3 linked regions of the Arabidopsis thaliana genome follow. The protein of the gene in region 1 interacts with the protein of each later gene in a pairwise test. Each region holds a gene or a part of one and is shown in the gene's direction. Other genes may lie near its edges.

What was found.
Region 2: the proteins of KNAT1 (region 1) and MYB39 interact in binary tests that used the Arabidopsis thaliana proteins (3 or more experiments, as listed by UniProt).
Region 3: the proteins of KNAT1 (region 1) and MKK4 interact in binary tests that used the Arabidopsis thaliana proteins (3 or more experiments, as listed by UniProt).

The regions. Positions count from the first base shown.
Region 1 is NC_003075.7:5,149,141-5,152,740, reverse strand, and holds the start of KNAT1 (homeobox knotted-like protein), read left to right. Parts: upstream 1-1,581; 5' UTR 1,582-2,130; coding exon 2,131-2,598; intron 2,599-2,709; coding exon 2,710-2,835; intron 2,836-2,939; coding exon 2,940-3,078; intron 3,079-3,600. UniProt on the Arabidopsis thaliana protein: May play a role in meristem function, and may be involved in maintaining cells in an undifferentiated, meristematic state, and its expression disappears at the same time the shoot apex undergoes the transition from vegetative to reproductive development.
Region 2 is NC_003075.7:9,881,454-9,885,292, reverse strand, and holds MYB39 (myb domain protein 39), read left to right. Parts: upstream 1-1,860; 5' UTR 1,861-1,924; coding exon 1,925-2,190; intron 2,191-2,525; coding exon 2,526-3,305; coding exon of another isoform or gene 3,306-3,309; exon of another isoform or gene 3,310-3,389; coding exon 3,390-3,426; 3' UTR 3,427-3,694; downstream 3,695-3,839. Other genes in the region: AT4G17780 (F-box and associated interaction domains-containing protein), read left to right, coding at 3,838-3,839.
Region 3 is NC_003070.9:19,152,258-19,156,096, forward strand, and holds the start of MKK4 (mitogen-activated protein kinase kinase 4), read left to right. Parts: upstream 1-2,065; 5' UTR 2,066-2,317; coding exon 2,318-3,418; 3' UTR 3,419-3,839. Other genes in the region: AT1G51650 (ATP synthase epsilon chain), read left to right, coding at 423-606, 1,356-1,384.

The DNA.
Region 1 (3,600 bases):
TAATTGACTTTCTAATCTAAAAGATAGAATTCTATGAAATTGTACACACTTTTGAAAACAATTTTTTTTTTAATAGAAAATTATAAGAAATTAGATCCATATGGTTATGGGTATTATAATATTTTTATTTATATATATATATATATATATATATATATATATTCTTCTTGCATGACCATATTAATGAGAATATTGGGATCAGAGACTTATTTATAGTGTGTTTTTAGTCTATTGCACTTGTGTTTTGGAATATTATGATATTTAATTCAAAGATGTACCCTTAATGAATGATCTTTTATGATGTCAATGTTTCAGCATCTTATACTGAAACAGAAAATAAGAGGAGGTCTTAAAGGAAAAGAAAACATTTCGAATGCAAAAATTTAACCTTTAACATTTTCGATTTTTTTTAATGAAATTCTAATAATATTGGTTCTAAGCAGCTGATTTTATTTTTTTAATAGTAAGAAATAATATATGTATACATATATATTTAAATATTTACTATCAAAATTTCCGGCATAGCAAGTCATAATTTGTAAGAAATCTTACATTTTGTTGTTTACAAACTCTCACAAGTCACAATGTAAGTTTCGGTCTAGTGCAGTGATGAGGTAAACAAAAAAAAAAATCTATCGATGAGCCAACTTTTTGATCTAGAGCCCTAGGATTTGACGATTTATATATAAATAAAACCCTAGGATTTTCGTTTCTTTTTGTATAAAAATGAATTCATAGGCACTCTATACGTCTCATGAATCATGAAATATAAATCGAGATTAAATAGAAAATTGAATGTTGACCGTGGAACAGAACAAGTGTTGAAAGAAGTGTGTTTGCAGCATGGTCTTATCATAGAGCCAATAGTTGGAAATTAGCAGAATATCGTATAATATCCACTATCCTGTAAAGCATTTTTATAATTCCTTTTTTTTTTCTCGGTTTCTAATGTAATCTTCTATCCGATAACAAATATTCGGATAGTGTGATCTCTCCACTAATATACATACGAAATTACGAAAACTAAAATTATAATTTCATCGATTTGATTAAACTCCAAAAACATCCAAGTCTTGCATCAAATATGTACATTTCTATCATATTGTTTATAATTCTTTTTTTGTTATCCGTAAGTTTTAGGCAGAAACCCGTACAGTGAAACCGAGGACCAGAACAAGATAAACGTAGTCCCCTCTCCTAAGTATAGAATTATAATGTGACACATGATCACAATTTGTTGAACGAACTCTATGTTCAACCACTAGACTACAAATTCTTGGGTTTATATCGTATTAGAAGTATATATAAATCATACATATTTTTTTTAAAACTTTTTTCTTGACTATTCTTTTAAGAAAAAAAAACATTTCATTACTAGAAAATAGTACAAAATATATCATTCAACCTAGCAAGAAACCATAGCCTGAAGTAGCCGCGAAGACCTAGTTGCTTAAACACTGAGTGGTTCATCTTAATTCGAATATTATAAACCACATTTTAATTAAGTAAATTACTTAGTCTTGTTCTAATGTATAAAATAGCCTATGAGAGGAAAACAGAAGAGAGAAGCCTTTGCCTTATCTCTTGTCCCTTCTCTCTTACCTTTATTTTAATTTTCAAATATTTCTTTTTGCTCCCAAAGCAAACGACGTCTTGTCAATCCACTCAAGCCACCCAACTTCTTCATTATTGTTAATCTCTCTCTCTCTCTCTTTCTCTCTTCTTCTCTCTTTCTCTTTTTTTTTTTTTTATTTTCTTCTCTTCCATGTCACTTCCTTGACGAATTCTATATACCTAGTTCGTTTTTTCTTCCTCAAATATATCTTTTTCAATTTATTTGGTTTTTCTTTGGGTGCAACTTCACCTCACAAAATTTTCTCTCTTTTTTTATATTAATTTGAGTTAGGCCTTTTTGATTTCATAGATGAGTCGTCTAGTCGTCTGGATTTGATGTGGTTATAGTCTTACAGAGACCTTTGATTGAAATAAGAACAAAAGCAAGAATACATACATCCTCTTCATCTTACACCCATCCTTTTTTATTTTTCTAGGGTTTTATTTTTTTTTAATTTATTTTTTTTCTTTGATTTTTATATTCTCTCTCTCTCTCAAATCTTTACTCATCTGGGTATGGAAGAATACCAGCATGACAACAGCACCACTCCTCAAAGAGTAAGTTTCTTGTACTCTCCAATCTCTTCTTCCAACAAAAACGATAACACAAGTGATACCAACAACAACAACAACAATAATAATAGTAGCAATTATGGTCCTGGTTACAATAATACTAACAACAACAATCATCACCACCAACACATGTTGTTTCCACATATGAGCTCTCTTCTCCCTCAAACAACCGAGAATTGCTTCCGATCTGATCATGATCAACCCAACAACAACAACAACCCATCTGTTAAATCTGAAGCTAGCTCCTCAAGAATCAATCATTACTCCATGTTAATGAGAGCCATCCACAATACTCAAGAAGCTAACAACAACAACAATGACAACGTAAGCGATGTTGAAGCCATGAAGGCTAAAATCATTGCTCATCCTCACTACTCTACCCTCCTACAAGCTTACTTGGACTGCCAAAAGGTTTGGTTTTATTCTTATTGTTATGTTATAATATATACTCTTTTTTTAAAGATATAATATATAGTTATGTGTGACATATATATGTATGTTCATGGGTCATGGTTTATATAGATTGGAGCTCCACCTGATGTGGTTGATAGAATTACGGCGGCACGGCAAGACTTTGAGGCTCGACAACAGCGGTCAACACCGTCTGTCTCTGCCTCCTCTAGAGACCCGGAGTTAGATCAATTCATGGTTCATTACTAACCAAAGTTGAATTTTAATTAAATGGGTCGGTTCTTTGTGTGTATATGTGTTAGAAGTCTTGATTTTCCTTTTTTATTTTTTGGTATGAATAGGAAGCATACTGTGACATGTTGGTTAAATATCGTGAGGAGCTAACAAGGCCCATTCAGGAAGCAATGGAGTTTATACGTCGTATTGAATCTCAGCTTAGCATGTTGTGTCAGAGTCCCATTCACATCCTCAACAATCCTGGTACATGTCATCAATCTCATATACATACATATATGCACATGTAAGAAATGGCTGGAGAAAACAAAGTGTAGTGGCAAGGTAGGGCTAATGATGGATTGCATAAATTGGCATGTTTCTTTGGTTCATGGTAAATTGTTGTAACATTGAGATATTAAAAAAAAAAAAAATCATAGTCTACATACATTTTCAAATGTTAATTAAGATTATAAGATAATTAAGATAATTGAGATGCATTATTGTTGGAAAGTATGTAAGATACAAATAGGTGTGCATATTTGTTCTTGTTTTCCCCATTGTGGAATCCATCCAAAGATGGGTGGGGCTTATTTTTGTTTTTTTTCTTTTCACTCGGCCCAAAAGTACTATCACAAGAACTTTTGGTGCTGCTCGTGAAGATTTATTTGGGACATTATCTTCTTCGATTTCGTTATGCTAAAACATCAAAATCTCTACTCGGATTAATTAGTCTAATCATAAAGGTAGATGACTAGAATGTTGTTAAATGACTAAACCATTTAACTT
Region 2 (3,839 bases), 4.7 Mb from region 1:
AAGTTTATACAATGTTATGAACTCATTTGAATTCGGAAGTCAATTTTAGCTACAGAGACCGAAAGAGTGAAGCAGCCATTGAATTACAAATTGACGACTATGTATCTGTTGCGTAAGCCGCGTAACAATAACATTACATAGAATTTTAAGGCTTGTCTTATCTATACTCGTTGACAATGTCAAATAAATATAGCATAGGAATTTTATACTATATGGTGCTACTAATTACATGGAACCCTTAATATATACGACTGTTTAAATAGTCAACGTGATAAATAGAGAGTTGGTAAGTGTTTGGTTTTAATTTGACAATGTGAAACAAGCCTGAACATTGACCCTTTAAACCATAACAGTAATTTAACGGTAAAAAAATAGTAATTAAGTATGTAAACAAGATCTTCCGTGAGAGTGAAATTAAACCTCATTATTTAAATTATACTAGTAAACATTTTCTCCAACCGTAGGAAATTTCGTTTTATGTTTTTTTTCTAATTTGTCGTGATCCTTCTCATTCCTTTGAAGACAACAAGATTCTATTATGAAAGATTTTTTCAAAGATCCAATAGTATAATACAACGTAATATATAATACCAACTTTATAGTTACACCTTCTAATAAAATCCACTTACTCGTTTATGTGTTCCTCACGCTATCGACTTAATGTTTGGAACCCGCGAGAGAAGTTCTTTAATTAAATTAGTCAATCGAAAAAAGCTATCCATTTCCTTTATCAAAGTAAATCAATTCGAAAATCTCGTATTAACTTGATCATCCAAATCCATATGTATATTTTCGAATAATATAAAACAGAAATTGAGATAACCTATACTAAAGAGAGTTTCACGTAAAAAATTTATATTTTCACGTAACAAAAAATTACAAAACAATTAAACAAAAAACAAATGATAATAGCATAGGTAATTTTTTGTGACTTGAAATTCAGAACGTATGGTAGGCACAAACGACGGTTTGGTAACAATAAGGAGAATAATAATAATCTTCGTTTGAATTCAAATAGAGGAAGAAGAAGCGAAAGGGTAGGCTTTGATCAACCATGAGACATTGAAGCAGGTAGAGATAATTCTTTGAATGCGGTGGAAGCAATCACATAATGATAAATGCAAGATTCCAATTTTGATGAACTTTGCAATGAGAACATAATATTGCTTTTCAATTAAATATTAGTTAAATATACCCTTCAAGAAAAGTAGTTAACAAGTTTAATTTATAATCATGCATTTATGCGAAATTCTTATTTGTAGGTTTTAATCTAAATAGAGAAATATACACATATATAGGAAATATTCAAAAATGATCACATGCATGTTTAATTTTTGAAAAATGTGGCTTTCTTTTATAACATAATTTCAATAAGATTAGTTTGAATTGCAGATTATGAAATAGTATATAATTTGTGATTGTTTTACAAGTAAAAGAGCGTAAGAAATTTGGTCCCAAAAAAAAAAGATTTTAGTAGGGAAATATCAACATTTTATTCTAACATAGCTAGGGCAAATATTTTATACATCTAACCCACAATAACAAAATCCATTAATGCATTAACAATTATTCGTATTCTTTTATATAAAAATTATTTGTTTGAACATCATCCCCACGAATTACTCTTCGAAGTTCGAACGCCATGACACATATCATATTATCAGTACCTAATCTTGATTTTGTTATAACTATTTTGGTTATTTAACTGATTTATTGAATGACTCATATATTGTAGACTTATGACACACTATGAAAAATAATATTTACACCAAATTCTGACGAATGCATACACAACTTTACTTTAGTTATGTCATGACTGCTTTTCACATCTATATATACATACAAACCTAATCGTAGGGAGCGACGAAACGAAGATCATATCTTCAAAAACCTCTGATAAGTTTTGGTTCTTGATATAAACAAAATGGGAAGATCACCGTGTTGCGATCAAGACAAAGGCGTGAAGAAAGGACCGTGGCTGCCAGAAGAAGATGATAAGCTCACTGCTTATATAAACGAGAATGGTTATGGGAATTGGCGGTCGCTTCCTAAGCTCGCTGGACTTAACCGCTGTGGCAAGAGCTGTCGGCTCCGGTGGATGAATTATCTCCGGCCTGATATCCGGAGAGGCAAATTTTCCGATGGAGAAGAGAGTACTATCGTTAGACTCCATGCCCTCCTTGGCAACAAGTAAGACTATTTTTTTTTCGTTAAAGCTTTTATGCTATTTTGTTAGCACTAAATGATTTAGGTCTCGCTTGTTTCAGACGTAATTATGTGTTCCTGTTTACATGTTTTTTTCATAATTTTAAAATATAAACCATTTTCAGTTCTTTTAAAATTAATATAAAGTGCAAAAACAAATTTACGTATGGATACCATTGCATAGTTTATTATTGCTATTATAGAATTCACATCCTCAAGACTATAGTCTAAACTTTAGTTTATAATTCTCTAACCATACAAAAGGTTAAGTTTTCGTTGGTTCATTTTACTAACGTTTGAGTCGAATTTTTACCATACAGATGGTCGAAAATTGCGGGTCATCTTCCAGGAAGAACAGATAATGAAATTAAAAACTATTGGAACACTCATATGAGGAAGAAGTTATTGCAAATGGGGATTGATCCAGTGACGCACGAGCCAAGAACCAACGATCTTAGCCCTATCCTCGATGTTTCTCAAATGCTCGCGGCAGCAATCAACAATGGCCAATTTGGTAACAATAACCTCCTCAACAATAACACCGCTTTGGAAGATATTCTTAAACTCCAATTGATCCATAAAATGCTTCAAATCATAACCCCCAAAGCCATACCAAACATCAGTAGCTTCAAGACCAATTTACTGAATCCTAAACCAGAACCGGTAGTCAATAGCTTCAATACCAATTCAGTGAATCCTAAACCGGATCCCCCGGCTGGTCTTTTCATAAACCAAAGTGGAATCACTCCTGAGGCCGCCTCGGATTTCATTCCATCTTATGAAAATGTTTGGGATGGTTTTGAAGATAACCAGCTTCCTGGTTTGGTTACGGTTTCTCAAGAGAGTTTAAATACAGCAAAACCGGGTACCAGTACGACCACCAAGGTAAATGATCATATCAGAACCGGTATGATGCCGTGTTACTATGGTGATCAACTACTAGAAACCCCATCTACTGGTTCGGTATCGGTCTCTCCCGAGACAACCAGTTTGAACCATCCCAGTACAGCTCAACACTCATCCGGTTCAGATTTCCTAGAGGACTGGGAGAAGTTTCTTGATGATGAAACAAGTGATTCTTGCTGGAAAAGTTTCTTAGAGTAAGATCTATCTCCGCATTGATTAACATAGTATATGATTTATATTTATGGTTTATTAACAGAATTGTTTTATCTAATCTGCAGCTTAACGTCACCCACATCGTCACCTGTCCCATGGTAGAACTGGATTTTGTTCGGGTCGTATACTCATAGTTTTAAAGACAATACATACACAAAGATATTCGATTAATACTCTTAATTTTGTTTGTTATTAAATATTGATTTAAAGTTTGTATATTTTCTTGTAAAGGAATTCTTATTTGTAATTTGTTCTTATTTGGTTTGGTTGTTGTGTAAAGAAACACATTGTAATCACCATTCTATTATTGCCCATTTAATAACAATATTTTGGATAAATATCTACGAGCAGTCTAATTTATACAATCAAACAACTCTATGGAAACATAACTTGATTCACAAGTTTAATAAAAATTCACCTATTTGCCAATAAGGAAATATATTAAAATGTCAATCTCTCGATGTTTCTAACAGAAAGATTGACAAAAAATCAAAAAACAAACAGTCACCAAGAAT
Region 3 (3,839 bases), on another chromosome or scaffold:
CTACCTGAAAATGAGAATAAGTTTTGAGTAAATTTCGTGGAGACTCCTGGAAATAAGTTTGTTTGTTTTCCTATTTTTATGTAACTTCGCTTAAATTTCTAATTGCCTAATCAAGGTATTAAAATAGCAAAGCTTGGTTTGGCTCAGTCTTCGCGTAAACTCCAAGAAACAATCATAAAAACAAATAAAAAAGACAAGAAACCAAAAAAAAAAAAAAAGTTGAGAGATTTCAGTAGATGAAAGTTGGATAGAAGATTCGTGTAGTTAGCTACTTAATGGGCCGTTAAAATATTTAATAAGGCCCATTGGGTCTAAACTGTGTTAGGATTACTAGGGCACAGAATCGGTCTCTGTCCCATTTCGCGAACTTTCTCCTTAGAATCGGAACGGACGAAGAAGGAAGACAAGGAAGAAGATCGGAGATGGCATCGAATGCGGCGGTTCCGTTCTGGAGAGCGGCGGGGATGACATATATATCGTATTCAAACATCTGTGCGAATATCGTGAGGAACTGTCTCAAGGAGCCACACAAAGCTGAAGCTCTTACTCGCGAGAAGGTTCACTTCTCTCTCTCCAAATGGGCTGATGGAAAGCCCCAGAAACCTGGTAAGCCTTTTCGATCCTTTAATCGTCGATGTTGGATCTTAGATCTGGATTCTTCACGTTCTTGTGTTCTCGATTCCTGATTTGTTTTTGAGTAATTTGTTGGAATAATCTGATTTCCTAAAAGTTATCGGAATTAAGTGGAAAGTGAATCATCTGCTTCTGGATTTGATCTTCGATTTTGCATTTAACCTTTCCTCTGCTTCTGGATTTGATCAGTTCAATACTATCTTCATACAATGTTGTTATGTCCAAATTGTTGAATTTTTCATTTAGAGTTAGCTTCAGAGAAAACAACAAAACTAGTAGTATGTGTGAAACAAGAACATGAAGAAGATGGAAAGCTGATTGGGAACATTGCATTTAGATGTCTTTTCTCGTTTATGTTTGGATCTGAATTCTTCATGTTCTTGTTGTGTGTCATTGAAATTGTTGGAATACGTAGATATCAGAGTAGGTCATTTTGGGAAAGCTATTGAATTTAAGAGGAAGATGAATCATTTTAACAAGCTCCATCGATTTTGCGCTTAATCTGTCTCTCTTCTGCTTCTGGATTTGATTAATTTCATTCTATTTTGTTTTCTCATAAGTTGTTGTTATGTTCAAATTGTTGAATTTGGAATGATTTCATTTCTCAAATAGGGTTTACTGAGACAATGATTCCAGATTTAGTCTATCTGAAAATGGTTCAGCTTTCTTCTTGTTGATCCATTTGTCTAACATTCTCTCATGTTTTTGTTTTTCCTTGACAGTTTTGCGGTCAGACACACCTGAAGTTTGAAGTCAACTTTGAGCTTATGTTCTTAAGGGATTCAAAAGTAACTGAGTTACCAAGATTTGTTTTCTTTTTATTGTCAACAATGGAGCTTGAGTGAAAAACTCATTTCCGATCATAATAATGACACACTGAGTCTTGTGTATCTCTTTTCTTCTTTTGCTATTCTGTTTCACTTTTTGTATGCGAACAATGAAAAAAAGCCTTTAAAGACTCTTCTGGCTAAAGACAAGTTCTTTTGATTGTTACAGAACAGTGAGAATAGCATAAAACTAAGCACATACGTGGAGAATCAATACACTGTCAGAAGTTGAGAGAAGACCATACTTAATATTAAACATGAGAATATACAAACTGATTTTCTGAATCATGTATTTTGAATCGCAGTACGCATATTTGCAGGTTAGACCATCTCCAATGTCACTTTTACGCGTTTGTTTGATTTAAATTCGATTTCCTCTTCTTGGTTTATATCACAAAACCAACAAAACGACACCGCGTAAAGTCTGAAAAAAACTTAACAGAGCCAGAAGTGCCCAGTGAACCAACCACACAAAGTCACAAATGGTTTCCGTGCTTGAAAGTGATCCTCACGCGCTTTACACATCGCGTAGATACCTTTTTCTCGATTTTAACAATTTTGCTATTTATTTCCTTTTAATTAATTTTCTCAAAATAAAAATTAACGTTCCCTTTTCAGTGTCCTTTCAATTTCTTTCGACGAAACTTCATTTCTCAATTTCTTTTGATTTTGATCGCTTCGAAGAACGAATCAATTTAAGCCTGCCACAAACAAACCCTAGAATACGACAACGCACGACGACGAAGAAGTCGAAGAAGACTACTACTATAAACGACGAAGATCATTACTTCAATCTTCAATCGAGCTTTTAAATTTTCAGATCGTAGAAGAAAATCGAACTTTTGATTCCAAAAGCGATGAGACCGATTCAATCGCCTCCAGGAGTTTCCGTTCCGGTGAAAAGCCGTCCCCGTCGCCGTCCTGATCTTACCTTACCGCTTCCTCAACGCGATGTTTCTCTCGCTGTACCTCTTCCTCTCCCACCTACTTCCGGTGGTTCCGGTGGCTCTAGTGGATCTGCGCCGTCTTCTGGTGGTTCGGCGTCTTCAACGAACACTAACAGCTCCATAGAAGCGAAGAACTATTCGGATTTAGTGAGAGGTAACCGTATCGGAAGCGGAGCAGGTGGAACGGTATACAAAGTGATTCACCGTCCGAGTTCTCGTCTATATGCACTTAAGGTGATATACGGTAACCACGAGGAGACTGTGAGACGTCAGATCTGTAGAGAGATCGAGATTTTACGAGATGTGAATCATCCAAACGTTGTGAAATGTCACGAGATGTTTGATCAGAACGGTGAGATCCAGGTTTTGCTTGAGTTTATGGATAAAGGTTCTTTAGAAGGTGCTCATGTGTGGAAAGAGCAACAATTAGCTGATCTATCTCGTCAGATTCTTAGTGGTTTAGCTTATCTCCATAGCCGTCACATAGTTCATCGTGATATCAAACCATCGAATCTTTTGATAAACTCTGCTAAAAACGTTAAGATTGCTGATTTTGGAGTTAGTAGGATCTTGGCTCAGACTATGGATCCGTGTAATTCATCTGTTGGAACCATTGCTTATATGAGTCCTGAGAGGATTAACACTGATTTGAATCAGGGAAAGTATGATGGTTATGCTGGAGATATTTGGAGCTTAGGTGTTAGCATTTTGGAGTTTTACTTGGGGAGGTTTCCTTTCCCTGTGAGTAGACAAGGTGATTGGGCTAGTCTTATGTGTGCCATTTGTATGTCTCAGCCTCCAGAAGCTCCAGCGACTGCGTCGCCGGAGTTTCGGCATTTTATCTCGTGTTGCTTGCAGAGAGAACCGGGGAAAAGGAGGAGTGCTATGCAGCTATTGCAGCATCCTTTCATATTAAGAGCAAGTCCGAGCCAGAACAGGTCTCCTCAGAATCTACATCAACTCTTGCCTCCTCCTCGTCCTCTGTCCTCGTCTTCTTCTCCAACCACATAGCGTTTTCTCTCTTCTTCCCTTCATCAACTCATATTTTTTGTGTTACTACTGTTCTTGAGTCTGTTGTCCAATTTTTTGCTAATCATGGAGGGTCTCTGAATTTTACATTTATTAGGGAGTAAAAAACTCGAGAGAGGGTTTTTGGGATTATTGTTTTCTAGAAAGGTAAAAGAGAACAATGATAATATTCTTATGCTTATGATGGTGCATGTATCCCCAATGTAGCTTTGTTGAATTTTCATAAAAGTTTTTGCCTTGGTTTTTCTTTTGTCATTTATGCTCGTCAATTTTGCATCTTGAAGACGAAAAGGACCGTTTCGTTTCCATTCTCGGTGTTTAGTTTTGTCATTGATAAAATGTCTCCTTGTAAAGCTTATTACCATCATGAAAAAGCAAAATATACGGATCGTAGAATCGTTTC